Mus musculus: one gene and its partners. The protein of the gene in region 1 purifies or fractionates together with the protein of each later gene. This does not show direct contact. Links are inferred from orthologs where the notes say so. Each region holds a gene or a part of one and is shown in the gene's direction. Other genes may lie near its edges.

Evidence for each region.
Region 2: the proteins of Pparg (region 1) and Sp1 purify together in Homo sapiens (affinity purification with western blotting; 3 studies listed by BioGRID). This does not show direct contact. The link is inferred for Mus musculus from reciprocal best matches to the Homo sapiens genes PPARG and SP1.
Region 3: the proteins of Pparg (region 1) and Stub1 purify together in Homo sapiens (affinity purification with western blotting; 3 studies listed by BioGRID). This does not show direct contact. The link is inferred for Mus musculus from reciprocal best matches to the Homo sapiens genes PPARG and STUB1.
Region 4: the proteins of Pparg (region 1) and Ctnnb1 purify together in Homo sapiens (affinity purification with western blotting; 4 studies listed by BioGRID). This does not show direct contact. The link is inferred for Mus musculus from reciprocal best matches to the Homo sapiens genes PPARG and CTNNB1.

Annotation. Positions count from the first base shown.
Region 1 is NC_000072.6:115,438,843-115,442,408, forward strand, and holds part of Pparg (peroxisome proliferator-activated receptor gamma), read left to right. Parts: intron 1-997; coding exon of another isoform or gene 998-1,005; coding exon 1,006-1,225; intron 1,226-2,649; coding exon 2,650-2,819; intron 2,820-3,566. UniProt on the Homo sapiens protein: Nuclear receptor that binds peroxisome proliferators such as hypolipidemic drugs and fatty acids.
Region 2 is NC_000081.6:102,426,795-102,430,360, forward strand, and holds part of Sp1 (transcription factor Sp1), read left to right. Parts: intron 1-3,162; coding exon 3,163-3,362; intron 3,363-3,566. UniProt on the Homo sapiens protein: Transcription factor that can activate or repress transcription in response to physiological and pathological stimuli.
Region 3 is NC_000083.6:25,830,129-25,834,190, reverse strand, and holds Stub1 (STIP1 homology and U box-containing protein 1), read left to right. Parts: upstream 1-1,271; 5' UTR 1,272-1,337; coding exon 1,338-1,499; intron 1,500-1,946; coding exon 1,947-2,145; intron 2,146-2,229; coding exon 2,230-2,395; exon of another isoform or gene 2,396-2,559; coding exon 2,560-2,647; exon of another isoform or gene 2,648-2,825; coding exon 2,826-2,882; exon of another isoform or gene 2,883-2,972; coding exon 2,973-3,089; exon of another isoform or gene 3,090-3,180; coding exon 3,181-3,306; 3' UTR 3,307-3,557; downstream 3,558-4,062. Other genes in the region: Jmjd8 (jmjC domain-containing protein 8 precursor), read right to left, coding at 3,601-3,681, 3,757-3,891, 3,985-4,052. UniProt on the Homo sapiens protein: E3 ubiquitin-protein ligase which targets misfolded chaperone substrates towards proteasomal degradation.
Region 4 is NC_000075.6:120,953,844-120,957,409, forward strand, and holds part of Ctnnb1 (catenin beta-1), read left to right. Parts: intron 1-1,242; exon of another isoform or gene 1,243-1,304; coding exon 1,305-1,408; intron 1,409-1,485; coding exon 1,486-1,824; intron 1,825-1,970; coding exon 1,971-2,129; intron 2,130-3,263; coding exon 3,264-3,383; intron 3,384-3,566. UniProt on the Homo sapiens protein: Key downstream component of the canonical Wnt signaling pathway.

The DNA of each region.
Region 1 (3,566 bases):
ATGAAAAAAAATGTTCAATATCACTAATCCCCAGAGAAAAGCAAATCAAAACTACAGCAAAAATATACTATTCCACGTCTGTTAGAATAGCTAGTCCATGAAGAGAAGAGAGGATATGGAGCAACAGAAACATCTCTAGTGAAGTATACTATACACTGTGCAGCCATTATAGAAAGCAAGTGGAGATTCTCAAAAAATCAAAAGTGGAATTTCCATGTGATTAGCAGCCCTACCACTAGAAATATGGCCAGGGAACTAAAAATTACTATGTCAAAGCTTCTATGCTCCCATGTTTATTATGACACTATTCACTATAGCCAAGATATGAAATCAACATGAGAATCTAAGACATATAAACAAGTAAAAGTAAACAAAAAGCTCTGTGGTATGAACAGACACACACATGCAGAATGCACATGTATACACAGGCATGCATACTCAAACAAGTAAAAAAAAAAACCCATAGTATATATACACACATATGCAGAATGCACACACATGAACATGTATGCACACACACACACATACATACAGTGAAATACTCTATGGCCTTTAAAAAGGAAAAACTTCTGTTTCTTGTAGCAATATAGATGACCCAAAGGAACATTGTACTAAGGAAAACAAACTAGACTCAGGAAACCAGATGCCACATACTCTTGCTAGTTGCCAAGGCCTAGGCGTAGGGAAGACTGGCCAGGGTTTCCATAACACTTTGGAGTCCTGATAGACAGCAAGATGATTATAGTTAGAAATACTGTATCATATAGTTGAAATTTGCTAATGAAGCAGATCTTAAGTTCTCTCAATACAGAAACTCAGGTAAAGGCTGACTTCCTTCTTACCTGGGTGGTACTAGAAAGGCAGTAGTGCACTCACCCCCATAGGGAAGTCTGAGTGAAATGCTTTATTAAACTCATTCAGCTCCTCTCTATGTCTATGAGGACTGCTCTGCCCTCCAGAACTTGACTCATATCCTGTTCTTTTTTTTCCACTTCAGAAATTACCATGGTTGACACAGAGATGCCATTCTGGCCCACCAACTTCGGAATCAGCTCTGTGGACCTCTCCGTGATGGAAGACCACTCGCATTCCTTTGACATCAAGCCCTTTACCACAGTTGATTTCTCCAGCATTTCTGCTCCACACTATGAAGACATTCCATTCACAAGAGCTGACCCAATGGTTGCTGATTACAAATATGACCTGAAGCTCCAAGAATACCAAAGTATGTTTACTTTTCAAACTACTAGGATTGGAGTTAGACAGTTTTTTAATAACCATTGAATAAATGCTCCTGAGATTAGCACTCTGACAAGAAGGCATCTTTACTCAGTTTATCCACTACGCTTGAAGTTCTAGATGTCTGTGGGAGGCCAAGATAAGACAGCACAACAATGTTCCCAACCTAACCCCCTTTCTTCTTCTCCCTCCAATGTTCCCAAACTTACACACACACACACACACACACACACACACACACACACACACACACACGTCTATCTTCTCCTTTCTTTCCTTTCTTGTTTCCATCTTTGGAACATTTTCTAGGATGACTACATTGCCAGTTTTGTCTTAGGCTGACAGTCCATCATGTAAACTTTGAATTCTCCCAGCTTCTTTTCAGTAAGTCATAGCTGTAGGTCAACTTACATGACTCATCATAGCTAAGTTACTATTACAGTTAGGCTTTCTTTCTAAGCTGTAATTTGTAAAATTTACCTCAAACCCTAGTTTGGGGCATAAACTTACATTTGAACATTGTGGCTGACTGACAGATCATCATGACATTAAGTAAATTAACATAAAACATCAGCCTCAAGAAAACCAGAACCAAACTTTTTGAGATAAAGTATCATTTCTGTGGTGCTGTTTCCTTGATTTTTATCTTGTGGGCTGATGTGCTGGTTTTCCAGAGTCACCCCTGTGTCACTGGCAAGCATTACTTGATAATAAGTAAGAACTTCCTGTAATTTCTAGTTGTTTTCTTTAGATAGAAAGTATACGTGGGTATTTATCTGTGTGGCTCAGGGTTAGAGCCTAATACGGAAATTCAATAGGTCTGAGCCACGGGCAAACGCAGTACTTGCCTCACACAGGTTGCTCCCACTCTCTATCAAAGATCACTTTACAAACCACCTCAGACTCAACCCTGTTGATAACCTGGCACCTCGGGCTAGGCTCACCATGGCATTTTCTTGCCCATGTTCCTTCTGTATTTCTTTTGCAAGAAAAGTTTAAAACTATTTCTAAAATTCACCTTTTCAATAAAACCCATAATAGCAGAATGGATGCCAGATGCAGCCCATTGCCTAGCCAAGTAAGCGTCACTTATCCAAACCCTGTGCAATGTCTGTGGAAAGCAGCGGGAAGTTTGGGGGGGGGGGGGGGAAGCACACTTAATTCTCTGGCTTTTAATTCCCTTCCCGCTTTATTTGTGCAGGTGAGGTTCTGGGGTGTTGTGACTTGCCTGAGATGACAAAGTCTTACTTTTCCTATCTGAGCACCAACGTTTCTTCATGTTCCCCAGCGCCTCTTCTGAGACAGTAAAGTTATGGCATGAAAATATGAAGGCCACCATGGAAAGCCACAGTTCCTCTTTAAGATTGTTTGTCATGAGATAACCATCTTCTCAAATTTTCCCATGCACAGGTGCGATCAAAGTAGAACCTGCATCTCCACCTTATTATTCTGAAAAGACCCAGCTCTACAACAGGCCTCATGAAGAACCTTCTAACTCCCTCATGGCCATTGAGTGCCGAGTCTGTGGGGATAAAGCATCAGGCTTCCACTATGGAGTTCATGCTTGTGAAGGATGCAAGGTAAAAATTAAATTTAAAAAAACCATCCTAGAGTTTTCTGCAATTTTGCCTATTCTATTTCCTGTTACAAACTCACTCTAAGAATTTAAAGATAAAGTTGTGGGGAGTTGTTTTGGCAGAACTCATTCTTCAAGTAATATAACATTTGAAAATCTGAGAAAAGCTAATAAAAGCAGCATTACTCTATCCCACTTCCCCTTCCCCAAAATGAGTCTTTGAGGCATCTCAGTGGATCTTGCAGAGGTTTTTTGGGGGTTTTTTTGTTTGTTTTGTTTTGTTTTGTTTTGTTTTTGAAAGGACTTATCCAAGGTATCGCAGCAAGACAGTGAATGATGAGCCAGTACTAGGACCTACATCTTCTGATTTCTCTAGTGTGTTTTTCATCGTGCTATACAATCTCTTAAACAAGAAAGGCTTGATAGACTATATATGTATATCACTTGACCCATGGACTAATGCTGTAATATTAAGCATATTAATATATTAGCACTGTAGAAATTGTGCATCAAAGGCATGGGGTCACTTGAATAGGCTCTTTATTCCCAGGACTACAAAAGGAAAAGCAAAGTTACGGGTTAGTGAGGTCTGTCCCTACCAAGCCCTAATCTAGTGCTGTTCCTGTAGTCCAGCCACAGATCAAGCCTTGTGTAATGGAAGGGCAAAAGGCAACAACTGAGCTCTTCCCTGTGAAAAGAGTGTTTTAGAAAGTTAGGGATATGCTGTCCCAGGTATAAGAAAAGTACATTA
Region 2 (3,566 bases), on another chromosome or scaffold:
AGGGGGAGAAGAGTCAGAATGGACTTTTAACAGGTATTTGCAATATGTATTGTATTTTTCTGGTTTGGTTGGTTTTTGTTTTTTGAGACAAGATCTCACTATTTGACCTCTCCTGCTTTAGCCTCCCAAGTGCTAGGATTAAAGTCACGTGGTCTGCCAAGCTCAGCAGCTTTTATTTTATTGTTGTTTTTGAGAAGGTGTCTTTTTGTAGCCCTGGTTTTTCTGGAACTCACTATGCAAACCAGGCTGGCCTTGAATTCATTGAGACACTCCTGCCTCTGCCTTCGCAGTGCTATGGTTAAAGGTGTGAGACCACACCCAGCCCCTGTAAATGTAACTTTTATTCACCAGATAATTGTCCTTTAAACTAGGCCTGGAAACCTTCAGCCTCTGAGATTTACTGCTGAGTAAGCTGTTTTTTGCTGGCTCAATTCAGCTATTCTGACTCAGAACTCCCCTCCAAGCTGACTGATTCAAATGGGCTTCTTTTTGCATCTCACTTAATTTCCTTGCTTTACCTCAAACTAACTAGCAATCTGTTCTAATCTTTTGACTCTTTTTTTTTTTTTTTTTTGGTTTTTCGAGACAGGGTTTCTCTGTATAGCCCTGGCTGTCCTGGAGCTCACTTTGTAGACCAGGCTGGCCTCGAACTCAGAAATCTGCCTGCCTCTGCCTCCCGAGTGCTGGGATTAAAGGTGTGCGCCACCACGCCCGGCCTTTTGACTCCTTATTCTCTAGCTTGTTCTTTTTTTTTTAATATTTATTTATTATATGTAAGTACACTGTAGCTGTCTTCAGACACCCCAGAAGAGGGCATCAGATCTCATTACAGATGGTTGTGAGCCACCATGTGGTTGCTGGGATTTGAACTCAGGACCTAACCACTGAGCCATCTCTCCAGCCCACTTGTTCTGTCTTTAACTGTGTCTAGCTTATTATAACTCTCTTCAACCTGTCTCTGTAGGGGAGGGGAAACCTCTCCCTGTAAACTGCCTCTGAATTCCATTAACTGAACAGAACTGACTAGAACTCAAGAGATATGCTTGCCTCAGTCTCCTAGGATTAAAGGCATGTCTGTATCCCAGCCTGTCTTCCAATGGGGATGGCATAGTGAGTTCTCGGATCACATAGACCTAGAAGATCTTTGGATATGATCTCTTGCCAGAGTGGCCATGTTCTGAATTATAATTCTTCTCTAAGCTCCTTATTTTAATTTACATGGAATCAGATGATACATCTCCTATCTTGGCCTTGAGTTTTTGGTTCTTGTGCTTCTGTCTCTCGAGTAGCAGAGATTACAAGGAGAAGCCTCCATGCTTTTCTTTTACCTTCATATTTAGGCCTGAAGGAGTGGCTCATTTTGTTTTAGTTTTTCAAGATAGGGTATTTATTTATTTATTTTTATGTAGCCCTGGCTGTTGTGGAACACCAGGCTGGCTTTGAACTCAGAGATACACCTGCCTCTGCCTCTTGTGTGCTGGAATTAAAAGCATGTGCCAGCACCAGCATAAAATTAGTAGCCACCCATAAGAAAAGCAAACACTGCTCATGCACATAAAAAATAATAAAAAGAGAGCATGGGCTAATAGGATAGAACTTTGTGCAAAAAACAAAACAAAAAAAAAATTCATGTAAGAAAGTCAGTGAAGCTAGATTTGTTGGTGACACAGATCTGCTGCCACAGTACTTGGAAGCAGAAAAATTGCAGATTTGAAACCTGTCTAATCTAAAAGTCAATTTAAGACCAGCATGAGCTAAATAAAAGAGATTCTGTCTGGAACAACAAACATTCTGTGGAGCCAGACATGGTAGTGTATATCTGTAATCTCATCACTCAGGAAACAGAGGCACAAGGATAATCCCACTTTTAGAGCCAGCCTGTTCTACACAAGGAGTTCTATGGTAATTTGGGCTATACAATGAGGCCTTGTTGCAAAAGTAAGTAAATAAACTCACAAACTTGAGATGAACTCCATGGTAGAACATTTACCTAGCAATCAGAGTCAATGAGAAGTCAGAAACAAGAGCTGCATAATAGGACCTACTCAAATGTACTATATTACCCCTTTACAAGATTTCTGATCCCACAGTCTTTTTTTTTTTTTTTTTTTTTTTTGTCTACAGAGCAAGTTCCAAGACAGCCAAGGTTACACAAAGAAACCCTGTCTCCAAAATAAATAAGCCAAAAAAATTTTATTTGTGTATTTATATGCAGCTAATAGGCCAGAGAAGACTTTAGAGTCTTTGAATCTGGTGGTGTGGGTCACTTGGTTGTAGTTGCTTGAAATGAAATTCCAGTCCTCAGGAAGAGCAAAAGTACTCTTAACTACTGAGCAGTCTCTCTAGCTCCCAATAAAAATAAAAGTTGAAAAAACAAAAGCTAGGTGTGATGGCACCTGCCTTTAATTCCAGCCCTTGGGAGGCAGAAGCAGGCAGATACCTGAGTTTGAGGCCAGCCTGATCTACAGAGTGAGTTTCAGGACAGCCAGAAACTCATTTCAACTATACATTGAAACTCTGTCCCCAAATATAAACAAAACAACAAAAACAACAGGGGCTGGAACAATAGCTCAGCAGCTAAAAGCATTGATTGTTCTTCCAGAGGACTGGTTTAGATTCCTAGTACCCTATGTGGTGGTTCACAGCCATATGTAACTTCAGTTCCAGGAGACCTACCATCCTTCTCTAAACTCAGTAGGCACCGGTGTGCTGTGTTGCACATACATATGTGCAGGCAAAATACTCATAAAATAAATAAATCTAAAAAACATTTTGATACACAAACAGAGAGACAGATACAGGGCTTCTCTGTGTGACAGGCCTAGGCTGTCCTGAAACTTGATCTGTAGACCAGTCTTCCCTTGAACTCACGAAGATCCACTTGTGTCTTTCTTCGGAATGGCATATAAAAGTAAGTCCTAGTGACAGGTATAATGGCACACATACCTTTAATCCTACCTAGTTTTATGCAAGCAGAGGCAGATGGATCTCTGAGGTCAGCCTTGTCTACTTAGTAAGTTCCAGGACAGCCAGAGCTACATAGAGTCTTTCTCAAAAACAAAGGAATGGGTTAAGTAATTGCTTCTGACAATTACTATTCTAATTTCTTGGTTCCCTACTTTCTAGCTCCAGAGTGATAAATCATAATATTCTCATTTTTAGAGCCTCAGGAGATCCTGGCAAAAAGAAACAGCACATTTGTCACATCCAAGGATGCGGCAAAGTATATGGCAAGACCTCACATCTCCGAGCACACTTGCGCTGGCATACAGGGGAGAGGCCATTCATGTGTAATTGGTCATATTGTGGGAAGCGCTTTACACGTTCGGACGAGCTTCAGAGACATAAACGTACACATACAGGTGAGTAAGACCCAAGGGAAAAGGGAAAGTAGTAGACAGAAAAGAAATGAGGGCTGGAGAAATGGCTCAGTGGTTAAGAGCATTGACTGCTCTTCCAGAGGTCCTGATTTCAATTCCCAGCAACCACATAGAGGCTCATAACCATCTATAATGGGATCCAATGCCCTCTTCAGACAGCTACAATGTATTCATGAATAAAATAGA
Region 3 (4,062 bases), on another chromosome or scaffold:
GCAAGCCCACAACAGAGCTAGGTTCACTTGGCCTGGGTCCTGTAATTCTTGGCAGGTCCTTGTGGGAGGCCCAGTCAGGGTGAAGGTCAGGCAGCAGGTCTGGGCATACATCTGCCCCCCAAGTTTGCACAAGACGAAGAGTCTACAACTCTAAGACACTCACTAGTGAGGTCCACAAGGGTTCTGGGGTCAAGTTACTAACCACCAGAACCATGATGGGGCCCTGGATGACCTCTCAGGCCCCGCTCAGCCCCGCTCAGAAAGGCAGTGAACTCTTGCACCTGGGCTAGAAACAGCAAGTAGTGCTTGAGTGTGTACTGGAGGGTTAGCAAGCTAGGAACTGTAGCCACCGCCTCTTCGTATATGAAAGCTGCAACCCCAGAAACCTCTGCCTCCAGGACCACTGCAAAGAGTGACAAGGAGGTTCTGGGGATAGCTTTTTTTGAGCTCCTAGAGCCCCCACCCAACTTGGGCAAAGATGCTACCTACTCACTCGAGGCAGTGGCAGAAACCACGCAGCGAAGTTTGACTGCGGCGCCCAGATCAGCAGAAAGCCGAGTTCTGCTTCTCCAAGTCCGGGGTTGGGGGTGTTAGCGGCCAACAGCTGATGCAGCAGCGGCTAGAAATGCCTCAACGACAGACCATGGGGTCAAAGGGTCTTGGTGCAGGCGCTCTCCAAGGAAACCAGCCGGCTCCGCCCTTGAAGAAGCTCCTCCCCATGACCGCGAGAAGGGCAAGAGTCCAGCCGTGCACCCGCAGCTACTTCTATAGCAACCGCAGAAGGTCCTTCGGTGTCAGCGTGTCACGTGCTTGTTTCTCAGCCATTAATGGCCGCAGGCAGCTCCTCCCGATTCCCGAGGAAGCCCCTCGAGAGCGGTCTGATCTGCGGGCCTCTCTTCTACCCTCAATTCCGCCTTCCTACCGGCGGTCCAGACGTTCCCAGGCTGTCGCGTGAGCCCGTGTGTGCCCTGGTGGTGCGCTAGGACCCGGGCCTAGTGACCGGCCCTCGGAAGGCCACTTCTCAATGACCGCTGCCACGTTCGCCCAGCTTGGGGCCGGAGGGCGGGGCTTGAGCGCCGATGGGCGGAGCCTTGGTCTGAGCAGGGTAGGTCTCGGTTACTGTAGGGCGGGGCCTGTAGAGCGCGGCGGAAGCTTCTCAGAGCTAAGGGAACTGGCTCAATCCACGAGGCTCCGCCTTTGCTCACGTGTCCCCATGCCAGCTCCGCCCCACACCGGAAGTTCCGGTGGCGGATCGCCGACCGGGCGGAGCTGATCGCTGCGCGGGCTGCGAGATCTAGGTGGCCGGGCGCGGAGCCCAAGCCGTGCCGCGCGGCGCCATGAAGGGCAAGGAGGAAAAGGAGGGCGGCGCGCGGCTGGGCACTGGTGGCGGCGGCAGCCCTGATAAGAGCCCGAGTGCGCAAGAGCTCAAGGAGCAGGGAAACCGGCTCTTCGTGGGCCGCAAGTACCCGGAGGCGGCGGCCTGCTACGGCCGCGCCATCGTGAGTGCGGGAGGGGCGGGGGCGGGGCCCGATGTGCCTCCCAGTTTTGTGATCCCGGACAGGGTTTCTGGCAGCCTGGACTCGATGGCTCGCTCGCTCCCCTGGTGCCCGGATTGCTGTTCCCGAGTCTAGGGCTGATTTGACTGGGAACTGGCGGGCGGGATGCTTGATTAAGTAAGACTAAGGATGACACCAGGAGCTCTTGCCCCTTGAGATTTCCAAGCCCAGAGCTTGTAGAGGGGTTGTGGGATTTCTCTCAAAAGCAGTTGGAGGCAAGAAAGCATGGCCAGAATCCAGAGCTCTTGATAATTCGGAAATCTCCAGTTCCTCTATTCCAGCCATGGGCCCCCAAAGCTGGAGCATTGACCAGATCATTGGCTTTCAGCTTGCTAAATGAGAGGGGATCAACTGAGCCCACACTCTTTGACGCCTGGTCTTGGTCCCCAGACTCGGAACCCACTTGTGGCAGTGTACTACACTAACCGGGCCCTGTGCTATCTGAAGATGCAGCAGCCTGAACAGGCACTTGCTGACTGCCGGCGAGCCCTGGAGCTGGACGGGCAGTCTGTGAAGGCGCACTTCTTCCTGGGGCAGTGCCAGCTGGAGATGGAGAGTTATGATGAGGCCATTGCCAATCTGCAGCGAGGTGGGCTGACAAGATGCAAGGTTGAGGGCACCTTGGGGGACCAGGATTGTTGACAAGTGTAACCAAAAGTGTCCACTCCCCTAGCCTATAGTTTGGCCAAGGAGCAGCGACTCAACTTTGGGGATGATATTCCTAGTGCCCTTCGCATTGCTAAGAAGAAGCGCTGGAACAGTATCGAGGAACGGCGCATCCACCAGGAGAGTGAGCTGCATTCATATCTCACCAGGCTCATTGCTGCTGAGCGAGAGAGGTGGGTCCCTCCCCCAGCAGACACTGAGTCACCAGCACAAGTGTTTTTATTGAAGGACAACAACCGGTACATGGGAAGCCCAGGAGGAAAGAGGCCTGAGATGGGGCGGGCTCTGTGATTTCCTGGTCAGGGCCATCACCAACTAGCTTCTGGTTAACCCTCAGGGAACTGGAGGAGTGTCAGCGGAACCACGAGGGTCATGAAGATGATGGCCACATCCGGGCCCAGCAGGCCTGCATTGAGGCCAAGCACGTGAGGGTGCCCCTAGTCCACATGTGGGTCATTGTGTGTGTGTTTGTGTGTGGCATGAAAAGTGCCCCAGCCTTTGGTGGATCTGTTGGCCCATGCATGACATGAGTGCCCTGGTGGACAGAGTGTGTGTGTCTGTGTGGAGACAGGAGTTGCCCACACATGGCACTCAACTCTGCAGGATAAATACATGGCAGATATGGATGAGCTCTTCTCTCAGGTGGACGAGAAAAGAAAGGTGAGGACCCCCGGAAGCTCATCGGCTGCTGCTGGTATGGTGACCCCCACAGCCCCCTCCAGTTCTAGACATTTTCCCCTTGTGCTATAGAAGCGAGATATCCCTGACTACTTGTGTGGCAAGATTAGCTTTGAGCTGATGCGGGAACCCTGCATTACACCCAGTGGTATCACCTATGACCGCAAGGACATTGAGGAGCACCTGCAGGTAAGGAGGGCCCATGGAGACCGGGCCATGGAGAGCCTTGGTACCCGGATCGGTATACTCAGGCCATTGAACACTCTTGACTCTGTTGCAGCGTGTGGGCCACTTTGACCCTGTGACCCGGAGCCCTCTGACCCAGGAACAGCTCATCCCCAACTTGGCCATGAAGGAAGTCATTGACGCTTTCATCTCTGAGAACGGCTGGGTAGAGGACTATTGAGGCCCCATGTCCTGCCTGGCACCCTGGCCCAGGAGGATCTGGAGACGGAAGCTCCAGTCCCTGTATAGTTTGTGTCCCTGGGCCTGCCCCCATCGGCCCTGCTGATGGGTTCTGAACTGCTCCCCTTCTCAGCATACCCCTTGCTGGACCATGAGCCTCCCTTGTCCCCCTTCTGGGCTGGAGAGTGGGTGAGGGTGGGCTGAGGTTGCTGCTGCTGCCACTGTCCTGTAATAAAGTCTGTGAGCACTACATTGGCATGTGCTGGTGCAGTGGGCTTGCCAGTTGCCTGTCTGGCTAGCCAAGGAAGGTAGAAATGAAGACACTGGTGTCCAGATTGAGTGTGGCATGCCACCACCGATCAGGAAAATACAGTACCTGGGAGAAAAGAAAAAAAAAATTTTGATTCATGGCTTTTTGAGTTAGCCCAACCCCCACCTACCAGCTACTGACTTCACCAGCCTGGATGGTACATTCTAGAGGCCGTGCTGACAGGGCTAGAGATGGGTATATTTCCAGCAGCCAGGCCAATGTGGTCTTGTTAGGGTGGAACTCAGGTGTCTTCTCAGGAGGGTAGAGGAACCAGCGCTGGAGGCAGGAGTGTAAGGTCACTATGTGTGCAATGGACTATAGACACCAGATTTACACACACACATAACACACACATAACACTGTACTGACCTTCCGACCATAGATAACCTCTGAGAAACCAGGCCCATGCCAGTGGAAGGGTACCCCAGATCCAGCTCCTGTGGGGTC
Region 4 (3,566 bases), on another chromosome or scaffold:
ATGACAGCTACTGAGGAGGCCGTCCCAGAAAAGGAGTGCTGCATAGCACTTCGGGGGAAGCAGCAACCTTGATTTTGCATGAGACCTGGGAGCTTACATGCTCTCTGAGTGTAGAGCATTGTGTGGGCCATGTCTTAAAGCAAGGAGGATGGTGGTACAAATACAACTTGAGCAGTTAATGAGCTAGGCAGGGCCCTGGTGCACAGGTGACTGTGCTGTTTTGGTAACACATATGGAGAACACTGCTTAATGTCCTCAAGGTTGATAACTGAGGAGGTAGTATTAGAGGCAGCCGTGTGCTGTGCAGCTTTGCTGAGCAGGAGAATAGCTGCACAGTGGGGACCACTGAAGGAAACAGCGAGCTTAGAAAACCTAGCAAGTAAATAGAGGAACAGTCCTAGTCCTTAAGGTGACATTCAGCTAGAAGGACATGGGGAAAGGCAGGTTAAGGCTGGGAAGCTGCCCGAGTTTATGACAGTAAAGAAGAGGAGTGTCTTAGAAGAGCCTAATGGGCTGTTAGCATTCAGACCTGCTGTCTCCTTAGCTATTCTGATGAGCATTTGGGGCAAGTTGCATAAAGAGAGTAGCCAGCCATTTACCAAAGGCGGAGCATCAGCCTCAATGGAGGTCACTGCCGGCAGCTGGAAGCAAGCTGTGAGGAAGGAATTATTTGAGAGACCATTGCCATCAAGTCAGGAAGGTGGACTAAATTATAGTTGTGACAAATTTGTGTCAAGTTTGAGGACACTAAGTATGAGGGACAAACAAGGAGGTAAGAATGTGTGTCTAACTCAGAAGTGATTTCAGTTGAAAGAGGTATATTTTAAGTGACTTGTTATATGGCTTGTCATTGTTGCCCAGGCTATCCTGGAACTCAGACTTAAGTAGTCCTGACTGACTGAGCACCGCAGTGCAGCTTACCTGACTCCTGAGTCCCAGGGTGTCTACTTGTCTGTTTACATCTGTACTGCAAGACTTGCAGGCGTTGCCTTCCCACTCACATGACCTCTTGACTTGAGGACTGCAGTGTTGCCCTTTGCGCACACCATGTGGTGGTCAACACTGTCCCTGGTGCTGAGGGTCATTCTGGAAGTAGCTGAATGAAAGGAGTTGGTAGGAATGTTACAGATGGTGAAACTGTCCATAAACAATAGAAGGGTATAGCAGCCATTTGACATGAGTTATCACTGGCAAGGTAGATTAGAAAAGCTGTGTGACATTCTAAAAAACTGAAGGAAATAAAGTTCTCAGAGTTGGGACACCATGAGGGCTAACAGGCCTGCCTTTGATGTCTGACTTTGCAGGTGGGATGCAGGCACTGGGGCTTCATCTGACAGACCCAAGTCAGCGACTTGTTCAAAACTGTCTTTGGACTCTCAGAAACCTTTCAGATGCAGCGACTAAGCAGGTATATTGTACACAAGTTGCTGCCTTGGCACTAGGGTCTGCATGAGCTCTGAGCTCATCATGTTTTTCTCTCAACAGGAAGGGATGGAAGGCCTCCTTGGGACTCTAGTGCAGCTTCTGGGTTCCGATGATATAAATGTGGTCACCTGTGCAGCTGGAATTCTCTCTAACCTCACTTGCAATAATTACAAAAACAAGATGATGGTGTGCCAAGTGGGTGGCATAGAGGCTCTTGTACGCACCGTCCTTCGTGCTGGTGACAGGGAAGACATCACTGAGCCTGCCATCTGTGCTCTTCGTCATCTGACCAGCCGGCATCAGGAAGCCGAGATGGCCCAGAATGCCGTTCGCCTTCATTATGGACTGCCTGTTGTGGTTAAACTCCTGCACCCACCATCCCACTGGCCTCTGATAAAGGTGAACTGTTAGCAGGGAGCTCTGTTGGGCATAGAGATGGTCTGCTGGGATGGATGGCTGGGAATAGGTGGTGGGACCCGAAGCGTCCATTTCACTCAACACTGCTTGTGCTTTGTTGTGTTGTCTACTGATTCTTTCCTCTGTAGGCAACTGTTGGATTGATTCGAAACCTTGCCCTTTGCCCAGCAAATCATGCGCCTTTGCGGGAACAGGGTGCTATTCCACGACTAGTTCAGCTGCTTGTACGAGCACATCAGGACACCCAACGGCGCACCTCCATGGGTGGAACGCAGCAGCAGTTTGTGGTAGGTAGATCTTTATGAAACATGGCTGTTGTAAATGGGGTGGGGTAAATGCAATCTCCATGTGCTGTCTCTACCTTCCCATCTTTTGGTGAAGGGCTGCTAATGACTGAAAAAGACTAGACTGTCTGGTTTCTAGAGACACTGTGTGACAAGCTCTGGTAATGTTTCCCTGGTCAACCTTAAAAAGGGACATGGAGTGTAATGTACTGTTGTGGGTTAGATCTTGCATGCATGTGCCAAAGTAGAAAATCTACCACAGCCATATTTGTATCCACTCTATCAGGTTCTTCTCCACATCAAAAATCAAGAGGAAGCCTGTTACAATAGGTTTTAGAACCCCATACTGCTGGTGGTTTTGTGTGTTTGCTTACTATTATTGTTTCTGGCCCCTTTCCATAGGATGGCCTCATAGTTAAGGTGCTGTGCCTTATAGTCTATGAACGAAATTCTGTGTCCTTATAGAAATCAGGTTGGGAAAAAAAAAAAAGAAATCAAGTTGACTATAAAAGTAATAGAGTTAAAACATAGATTAGAAAGCAAATACACAGGCTGCTGATGGGTCTCTGGGCAATCCCCTGGCAGCTCAGTGGGGTTTAACTGTAGGATAAAGCTGGGAATCTTTTCACCAGATAACGTGTAAGAAATAGAGGACAAGTGGGAAGGAATGGCCCACACTCACCTACCTTTACCAGAAAGGTTGATGCTCTTCCATGTAGTGACAAAGCCAACTTTGGGATTGGAAGGGTAAGGAAGCTGGACAGCCGCTGTCCTCAGTGCCTGTGGGGTTTATATCTGCAGAAGCTCAAGTCTCTCGTGCCAAAATTCTTGACGTTACATTGTGCCTGTGGTCACCCTTGGGACTTGCTGATCCCGTAGGGTGCATGGCGAGAGTGAGTCTGGGTGAGTAATGGCACGCTGCGCTTGGCACAGGTGGAGGCTGGAAGTCACAGCACAGGGAAGCTGCTCACACTGCAGGGAGAAGGCCTGTTGCTAGGAGCCTTCCGTTATACTCAGCGGAAGGGACCCTCCATTACAGAGCACTGGGCAAGCTGTGAGGATCTTTGGAGACAGTGCACATAAGTGGCTACAACTGCTGCTCAGAGAGTGCCAGCTTAACTGCTTTTCTCCTCCTAGGAGGGCGTGCGCATGGAGGAGATAGTAGAAGGGTGTACTGGAGCTCTCCACATCCTTGCTCGGGACGTTCACAACCGGATTGTAATCCGAGGACTCAATACCATTCCATTGTTTGTGCAGGTACGTCGGCTTCAGGTGACTGCTCTCCAGACTTGAGTCCCTAGACATTGAGAGGATTGGAGACCAGAAGCCTTGACTTTTTAGTCAAGAGCATTGGTACTATAGCCTGAGGAGAAGGGCGGGCCAGAGGACAATTCTAGAAATCCTATATGCCAGAGCAGCCTTCTCCTGGGCACATAGCCA